Linked DNA regions of Saccharomyces cerevisiae S288C. The protein of the gene in region 3 interacts with the protein of the main gene of each other region in a biochemical or structural test. Each region holds a gene or a part of one and is shown on either strand. Other genes may lie near its edges. The genes, in order: JAC1, TIM17 and PAM18.

Evidence for each region.
Region 1: the proteins of PAM18 (region 3) and JAC1 form a complex in vitro, tested with the Saccharomyces cerevisiae proteins (one study listed by BioGRID).
Region 2: the proteins of PAM18 (region 3) and TIM17 form a complex in vitro, tested with the Saccharomyces cerevisiae proteins (3 studies listed by BioGRID).

The regions. Positions count from the first base shown.
Region 1 is NC_001139.9:458,610-461,524, forward strand, and holds JAC1 (J-type chaperone JAC1), read right to left. Parts: upstream 1,056-2,915; coding exon 501-1,055; downstream 1-500. Other genes in the region: casein kinase 2 regulatory subunit CKB1, read left to right, coding at 1-383; ATE1 (arginyltransferase), read left to right, coding at 1,245-2,756. UniProt on the Saccharomyces cerevisiae protein: Co-chaperone required for the assembly of iron-sulfur (Fe/S) clusters in mitochondria. Stimulates the ATPase activity of its specialized Hsp70 chaperone partner SSQ1, to mediate the transfer of iron-sulfur clusters from ISU1 to GRX5.
Region 2 is NC_001142.9:145,030-148,202, reverse strand, and holds TIM17 (protein transporter TIM17), read right to left. Parts: upstream 1,103-3,173; coding exon 626-1,102; downstream 1-625. Other genes in the region: serine/threonine protein kinase YAK1, read left to right, coding at 1-236; IRC9 (Irc9p), read left to right, coding at 1-384; ROQ1 (Roq1p), read right to left, coding at 1,530-1,844; SFH5 (Sfh5p), read right to left, coding at 2,159-3,043. UniProt on the Saccharomyces cerevisiae protein: Essential component of the TIM23 complex, a complex that mediates the translocation of transit peptide-containing proteins across the mitochondrial inner membrane.
Region 3 is NC_001144.5:165,077-168,256, forward strand, and holds PAM18 (Pam18p), read right to left. Parts: upstream 1,008-3,180; coding exon 501-1,007; downstream 1-500. Other genes in the region: Smc5-Smc6 complex subunit NSE1, read left to right, coding at 1-326; RLP24 (ATPase-activating ribosome biosynthesis protein), read left to right, coding at 1,461-2,060; TEN1 (Ten1p), read right to left, coding at 2,244-2,726. UniProt on the Saccharomyces cerevisiae protein: Essential component of the PAM complex, a complex required for the translocation of transit peptide-containing proteins from the inner membrane into the mitochondrial matrix in an ATP-dependent manner.

The DNA.
Region 1 (2,915 bases), on a different chromosome or scaffold from region 3:
AATTTGGAACGTGCCCCCGTTACTATTGTAATGGCATGCAGTTGCTGCCTTGTGGGTTGAGCGATACAGTTGGGAAACACACCGTAAGGTTGTACTGTCCCAGTTGTCAGGACTTGTATCTTCCCCAATCATCTAGATTCCTGTGCTTAGAAGGTGCATTTTGGGGGACAAGCTTCCCTGGTGTGTTCTTGAAACATTTCAAAGAATTGGAAGAGTATGTGGAAAGGAAAAGTAAAGAGTCCTACGAGTTGAAAGTTTTTGGGTTCAGGATAAATGATGAGGCAGTATCTGGTCCTAGAATGAAGTGGTTGAGACAATATCCATCCACGGAGGAGGACTGGGAAGAATTTGCCAAATGCGAGTTCGAGACACCGGCGGTTTAACCCTTGATTTATTTTCCTCTTTGCCCTACCATATACATATGTACTTTACCTATTTACATTGTTTCAGTTTTTATATCACCACTATTATTATTATTACTATTACCACTTTGGAGTACTTTAGTGATTCATTTCCAATTGTTTTCCTGGAGCCCAGTCTTTGAATGCCTTGGCCAAGTTGTACCAGTACTTTAGCTCCACGGTCAACTTCACTGCGGCGGCGTAATCCTTGTCATTGTAGCATTGTCCCAACTGGGCTTCAATATCTTGAATTCTTTCCTTGTTTTGCTTTTCAAGCAGCTTCACACCAGCTTCGTCGTCCATCTGGGATAATTCATCATGGATGTCTAGAACTTTCAATAGTAACTGTGGATCACTGGTAGTTACTTCATTTGAGGTCTGTTCTTGCGTCAAATCGATATTGCGCAAGAGTTTTAGCATATATTGTGACCTTCTAAGGGGATCTTTGAGAGTATGGTAAGCTTGATTAAGAGTTGATGACTGTTCACTACCTTGTTGGGCCATGTCTGGATGGTGCTGTGCTTGTAATTGCCTATACTCCTTCCTTAATCTGGATTGATCGATAGTCCAAATGGGTAGCTTTTTGGGGAAGGTCTTTGGGAACAGCTCGTAAAATGTAGAAGTGAATCTTCGTTGAACCAAGTATTTCAACATTGTGCTTGTGGGGCTTCTTGATACCTGTTTCCATTATCAGCCTCAGCCTTTAATTTCGCATCATCTTTTTAGTTTCCTTTTCTTTTTCGTTTTTTTTTTACCTATTGTTAAGAATTACGCTGTGAGTTTCATTGCTATTGTTACAAAAGACAAGATAGTCTCAAGATACAACTGAGAAGAAGCACAATTATGTCCGATAGATTCGTTATTTGGGCTCCCTCGATGCACAATGAACCTGCCGCAAAGTGTGGGTATTGTCACGGTAATAAGGGGGGCAACATGGATCAGTTGTTCGCATTGGATTCGTGGGCTCATCGTTATATGAACAAAATGGACGTTGTAAAGATTGAAAACTGCACAATTGGCTCTTTCGTGGAACATATGGATGTAGCCACGTATGATCGCATGTGTAATATGGGATTTAGAAGGTCTGGTAAGTTTCTTTATAAAGTGGACCCGTTGAGGAATTGTTGTAGGTTATACACCATTCGAACTGCCCCTCAAGAATTGAATATGACAAAGGAATTGAAAAAATGCATCAGCCGCTTTGCTACTAGAATAACAAGTGAGGACTACTGCCCAGCCGCTGTTGCAAGCAGTGATTTTGTGGGCAAAATTGTTAATGCAGAGATGAATTCTAAAACATTCTATACCCGATTTGAGCCTGCACTTTATAGTGAAGAAAAGTATCACTTATTTGTCAAATATCAGGAAAAAGTGCATCAAGACTACAATAATTCGCCGAAGTCCTTTAAGCGATTCCTATGTGATACGCCCTTTGGCCCTGAAGCGGTGTTGGGGACACAAGAATCATGGGAGCAGTTAAACAATTGGCAGCGAATGAAGCCAGGCGAGAAACTGAAGCATATGGGTCCTGTGCACGAATGCTACTACTATGAGGGTAAATTAATTGCCATCACTGTGTCAGATATCTTGCCCAGTGGTATATCTTCGGTATATTTTATTTGGGATCCAGACTACAGTAAATGGTCCCTAGGGAAGCTCAGTGCTTTGCGCGATCTTGCCATCATTCAAAGGACAAATCTGCAATACTATTACCTGGGGTACTATATTGAGGACTGTCCGAAGATGAATTATAAAGCAAACTATGGTGCGGAAGTACTGGATGTGTGTCACAGTAAATATATCCCATTGAAACCCATTCAGGATATGATTTCTAGGGGCAAACTCTTTGTCATAGGTGAAGAAGAGACGAAAGTTACTAAGGAGCTCTACCTCGTTGACTCTGAAACCGGAAGAGGGGAGGGATTTCCCACTGATAATGTTGTCAAGTACAAGAATATTGCTGAGGAAATATACGGTGTGGGAGGGTGTGCGTTTAAATCTGCAAATGAATCTGCATTGGAATTGAAAGAACTTTACGGTATACCGTACGAAGAGGAAGATTTAGATACCATCTACCATTTGAAAGAACACAATGGCCATGCTCCAAATGGTATTCCTAATGTGGTGCCGGGATTACTCCCGCTATGGGAATTGCTGGACATTATGCAATCTGGCAAGATCACTGACCTGGAGGGAAGACTATTTCTCTTCGAAATCGAAACGGAGGGGATTCGACCATTAATTAACTTTTATAGCGAACCTCCGAATGTCAAGAAACGTATTTGTGACGTGATACGGTTATTTGGCTTCGAAACTTGTATGAAAGCCGTCATTTTATATAGTGAGCAAATGTGAGCCTTCAACACACTATTCTAATAACAATCCTAATGTATAACATTTTTTAGCATTCAAACATTCTCACCATCGCGCTGAGATAATTTTATATAGTTGATGGAATAGTTTTGGAGGTGATTTATCCATTAAATACCTGATGCTTTTTTGTCTCCTCATCGC
Region 2 (3,173 bases), on a different chromosome or scaffold from region 3:
CAAAAGGCCAGCAAAGTGAATATGGAAGTGCGAACGACTCTAGTAACAATGCAGGCCACAACTATGTCTATAATCCTAGCTCTGCCACTGGTGGTGCTGATAGCGTCGACATTGGTGCTATCAGTAAAAGGAAGGAGAATACATCTGGCGACATCTCCAATAATTTTGCTGTTACTCATTCTGTTCAAGAAGGGCCAACAAGCGCGTTCAATAAACTTCACATTGTCGAAGAATAAATCGTTATTTTGTCTGACTTTTCTTAACTACCCATTTCATTTTATTACGGCTTGGTGCCATAATGATATACTAAATAAATATGAATTTTGCCTTTTCTTAATTTTCCTTATACGTATAGTCATTACAATTAATAAAGTAACATTATAAAGTTTCTGCACTAGCTTTTGGCTTGTTGATATTTTCTCTTCAGAGATGAAGTATGGTACTTTTTCAATATATAATATGTACATGGTTGAGAGAAATGGTTGGTAATCTTGAAATAAAAGGCTGAAATAAAGTAAAAACGTAAAGGAGGCTAGTGCGATACGTCATTTATGTAACAAAAAACATGCCGAATAAGGGTACTTCCAACAACGATGAAAAAATGGCTCATATAATGTCTACATGCCTAAGCTTGCAGAGGTTGAGAGGAAGGTGCTTCGGGCAAAGGAGGAGCCATAGGTTTGGCTTGCCAAGCAGCATATCTTTGAAACATTAGTCCCACACCTTCAATCACACCCAACAAACAAGCACACGTGATCGAACTGTTCCTTGTATGCCTCCAACCACCTCTTACAGCTAAAGCGCCACCAGTGAAAAACCCTGCAATGATAGCATTCCATGGGTCCTCTCTCTTTCTAACGGCCTTCACAGCGCAATCAAAAGTCGAAAATAAACCACCCCACACACCAAAATTACCACCCAGTACGGGAGCACGCGCTTTAATGGCGCTCATAGCTCCTGAACCACGCTCACCTAATGGCGAATTTCTAAAACCTTTAATCCCATGCCAAACAACACCACCAATGGCACCCATGGCAAAAGCACCACCGAAATCATTTAGTATGACTATAGGACATGGATCTCTCGAATGATCGGCTGACATAACGCTCCCGTGTACTCTATTTTTCTTAACGCTTTCTTCTGAACTTGACTCTTTCACAGCTTTTCCATCTTTTGATGAGAATAGTGCTTTTATCCTCTGGATTTGGCATAAAAATGGAAACTTTGGCGCAAGAATGCCGGGTTACCCACTTTGTTGAACAATAGCAGTAAAAAAGGCGTCCGATGAATGTTCGTTGTATACACCCGAAGATTTCTGTATTCAATGATATATATACATATCTATATGAATATACTATACACTTTATGCACAGAAATTAATGATTTGATAAAGTCCCGCTATCCTTCCGTGGCGCCACTGACAGTGGCATGTTATGAAATGCATATAATCGTTACAACCCCGAACCCGTGCGTGGGCTATTCAGTATAACCCGAATGGTATTGTTAGATATGCTTTATAATGCTGGAGTTCATGAACAACGGCGAGAGTGAACGTCTCCACCCAGACTGCTGCCGTGGCCGTATCGACTGCCGTTTTCATCGTCACCATGATTATTGTTGTTGTTATTATTACTGCTTGTGTTTTCCTGTATGCCTAAATTAGTCAGCTCTACAAAGTAGTATATCACGCCAGGCTGTGTAGGCTGGTTATTGATCCCGAAATCGCCCATGGGAGACTCCTCTACCAAGGAATCCACTCTAGTCTGGTCCCGCTGGCTCCTGAGTATACTACTGTTGCTTTTTTTGTGTGTCCTGTATATTGTTGAAGTTTCCCTCCTTAACATCTTCTTCTTGTTATCTTATCTCTTGTTTTTGCTGACTTTTTTCCCTTGTAAATACCTTTATCTGCGATCTTGTTCACCTTCGGTGCGTTGTCTTTTATATAGGCGGATCTGATCGATCTGTATCCCTATTATTGCCATTACCTTCTAGAAACATTTTCGCAGCCCCTTCGTTTCGTACGGTGTTTTCTGAGCCATATAAGTGAAGATACGTGAGAGATAATACAGTTAGATGGTGATTTACCTGAATATAAGGCAAAAATAAGAAATTATTATAGGGTTTATATAAGAGACTATTATTAGATCATGCCAACAAATCACTCAACGTCCTCGATGATTTGTTTTTGTAAAATGTAAAGGCCGTATTCTGTTGGATGGACATTTGTGACATTTTGCTTGGTCAGATTGTTCTTCTTATCTTTCCCGCCATACCCTTCATATGGGCAATCCTTCAAGTATTGACCCAACTTGCTGCCGTCGGTTAATACCACGAACTTCTTTCTGGTGGTTTCGTCAACGAACTTTTTGATTAAATCGTAAACCCAGCCGAAAACGGTGGGGACATTAACAAAATACTTTGCATATAACAGTTCTGGATAGTATTTTTGAAAGATTCCAATGACCGTCTTGCTACAGTTTTTAATGTCAGAATCCATTCGCCACACGGAGACGCCTTTATAATCGTGGACTTGGGTCATATAGTTGTTGTCGGAGCTGGTGAAATCTAATAAGCTCAAACCCTTTTCCATGAGCCCGATTCTGTAGCGTACAAACTTATCCACATTTTGAAACAATTCTTTTTTTTTGACCAGTTGGCCGTATAAGTTCCAAGTGACAGCCTTTTTATTTGCGTCGCCGTTTGCATCGAATGTCAAAATACCAACGTTTTGCAATTCTGTATTATGGACTTCCTTGTAGGCACAACTCAATGGGTTGAATTCCCTCCTCCAATTCAAAATATCGATCAGGTTCTGTACAATGGTGCTATATTCAAATTGATAGGCTTTGCAAAGTTTGTAGGTTAGACGATCGGCGATTTTTTCGTCATAGTATTTATCAACCTCCTCTTGTGTAAGACCTTCAGGATTCAACTTGTAACCATACAATTCATCGTATCCTGCACATTTTTCCTTGATAATACCAGGAATCGCTTTTTTAAGCTTATCGAAAACCTGCTTCTCACTGTCATTGTCGAATTTCATTTTAAGGATGTTAATTTAGTGAATTAATTACGATTGGGATTCTAAGTAGGAAAAAAAAAAGAGGTACAATTGCAATGTACAGCTCGTTTTTCTTGGTGCGATCACTAATTAGTAAAGCGATGGACATAGT
Region 3 (3,180 bases):
ACTTACTACTCCGATTATGCGAACTGAAATGGTTTTACAGGACTCAGGAAGGGAAATTCGGTATTGATCTTCGCTGTATAGCAGAACTAGAAGAGTATCTAACATCCATGTACAATTTGAACACTTGCCAAAATTGCCACAAGCTGGCAATTCAAGGTGTCAGGTGCGGCAACGAATCATGCCGAGAAGAGAATGAGGAAACTGGAGAGAATAGTCTGTCTCAAATTTGGCATGTTGATTGTTTCAAGCATTATATTACCCATGTAAGCAAGAATTGTGATCGTTGCGGTTCATCGCTAATCACAGAGGGCGTATACGTTATTTAAACTAAAATACATAGCTTTCCGTGTTATTTACAAGACTTATCTATACAAACATTTGATTGCCCGAAGTATTTTAATCTCCTAAACGGCATGTGATTGAACACGGTTCGAGGTTTATACCACTTGTATTAGGCATATATGCAATTGCAATAACTCATTTTAGGTTCCCGTTTTACCTTATTTGCTAATACCCCTTTTTTCCAAAAAGTCCTTAGCTTCGTTTATCTTAGTGGCCAAAAATGGAGAACCACCTTTGTCAGGATGATTAGCTAACATAATTTTCCTATGAACCTCTTTCAACTTTTTTTTAGTCAATGTATTTTCTGTCAAATTCAAAATCTGTAGAGCCTCTTTAGAATTCATTTTCGGGTCAAATCCGCCTTTCAAGAAGGCAGTAGTGGATTTTCCACCGTTAAGTCCCTTCGATATTGATTTATATGCACCGGCTGTAAAATATAAAGTTAAAAAGGCCCCAAAACCTGTTATCACAGGATGTTCTCCCATGTAGTTCAAAGCTTGATCAAAATAAAGGTCCATTCCGGTCTTTTGACCCTGCGAACCATTCTGGATACCGACATTAACACCAGCTCCATCAACAGTAACGTTCGCAGAGCCATTAGTTTGACCAGGAATGGGTAGTTGTGGTGCCTCAATAGAATTACCAGTATTACTTTGAGAACTCATGATATTGTGCGGGTGGAAGTGTTTATGCAACCTTATTAAACTGTGCTCGGCCAGTGGAGACGTACAAATTCCACTACTATTCGTACTTTGTCTAGTTCAAGGGTCTCCGTCGAGTGAGTCCTACGTTGATTCAAATGGCTTTCACATTTGGTCCGATTCTCGCTCTTTAAATTTTTTGCCCGCTCGCCTCGAACTCAGCGGAGTGAAAAATTTTCACTCGTCTTTTATTAAATAATGTATTTCTAAACTCATCTCATCTCATCCCACCCTATCTCCAACTTACATCAGTTTCTATCTTGATCCGTGATATACCACTTTTAAGTTCTTCGACTTGTGATTTGAAAGATATTGCTATTCAAGCGTGAGTTGTCCATATTGTTACCACCACCTCCCCGTGATTTACATTCAGAAACTAAAAGGAAAAGGAAGTAGAAGTTTAGTAAGTATAAAAAAATGAGAATTTATCAATGCCATTTTTGCTCATCCCCATGTTATCCAGGTCATGGGATCATGTTTGTGCGTAACGATGCTAAAGAGTTTAGGTTCTGCCGTTCTAAGTGTCACAAGGCATTCAAGCAACGTCGTAACCCAAGAAAACTAAAATGGACCAAAGCTTTCAGAAAGGCTGCCGGAAAAGAATTGGCTGTGGATTCTACCTTGACTTTTGCCCAAAGAAGAAATGTCCCTGTTAGATACAATAGAGAGTTAGTTGCCACAACTTTGAAGGCTATGGCTAGAATCGAAGAAATTAGACAAAAACGTGAAAGAGCCTTCTACAAGAATAGAATGAGAGGTAACAAAGAAAAGGACTTCTTAAGAGATAAGAAATTGGTCGAATCTAACCCAGAATTATTGAGAATCAGAGAAGTTGAAATTGCCAGAAAGTTGGCTAAAGAACAAGAAAGAGCTGAATCAGTATCCGAACAAGAGGAATCTGAAGAAGAAGAGGAGGATATGGAAATCGACAGTGACGAGGAAGAGGAAGAACAATTGGAAAAGCAAAAGATTCTGCTAAAGAACAGAAGAAGAAATACAAAGAAAATTGCTTTTTAGTTAGAACAGAACCGGGCTAATTGCCTCTTTCCTTTCTTTTCTCATACTTATTTCATGGGATAAATAAGAATCACCTGTATACTATTATTTACATTACATAACATTACAATAACTATTTTCAAGGGTCCTCTTACATTCTTATCAAAGGTATTATATAATCTCAGTATATGCCAAACGTCTGACTTAGGAGTTAGAGATGTTCAGAAACTTCTCACCAAGTGGTGATTTGACAAATTCACAGAAATCACGAACGTCATTCCTGGATAGTATCTTAAAATCAATGATTTCAAAAATTGGCGGACTTTGGTGTATTCCATACCATACCCCAATGCGAACATCCAGTACCTGCCCATTTATCAATCTCAAATCATCTTTATGGGCTGAAAATAATCTTTCGCTCATATACAAACGCATCTCCTCTGCGCCATTTGTTGAATTGAGGCAATGAAGATTTCTAACTATCATTTGACAGAAAAAACCTTTAATGAATTCTTCATCCGATTTACAGAACAAGAAATCTACTAATCGAACAACAATCCTGAATCTTTTGGACGGATGAATAATGTTTGGTTCCATTCCGTTTCCACCGTAAACATTGTTATGAATATCGTAATTCGTTGCTATTTTATCCTTCAAACATTTTAAGTCTAGAACTAACTGGCTCATATAACACTGTCGTAGTTCTCTAAAAAGAGCAAATAGAGCTGTATGTAACCAATACAATATAGTGAATTATGTCCTAGAATAAGGGCATTCATTATTCTCCATCTCTGCTTCAGAGAAAAAAAAAAGAAAAAGAAAAAATAACGACAACTGCAGGACTCGAACCTGCGCGGGCAAAGCCCAAAAGATTTCTAATCTTTCGCCTTAACCACTCGGCCAAGTTGCCATATGACTATTGATTTATATCATATTACGAGCCCAAATAATACTGGGGTGTTTTGACAATCCTAATATAAACAGTCTTCGAGAAGTAACCAGTTGTCAAAACGGATTATCAGCTTGATTCAAGGAATGTTAACTGTCCTATATCATATAAAATATGAATCATACTAAATGGTGGAAGCACGGATCTTGGATCTAAACTAATTGTTCAGGCATTTATATGTTTGGGTAGTTT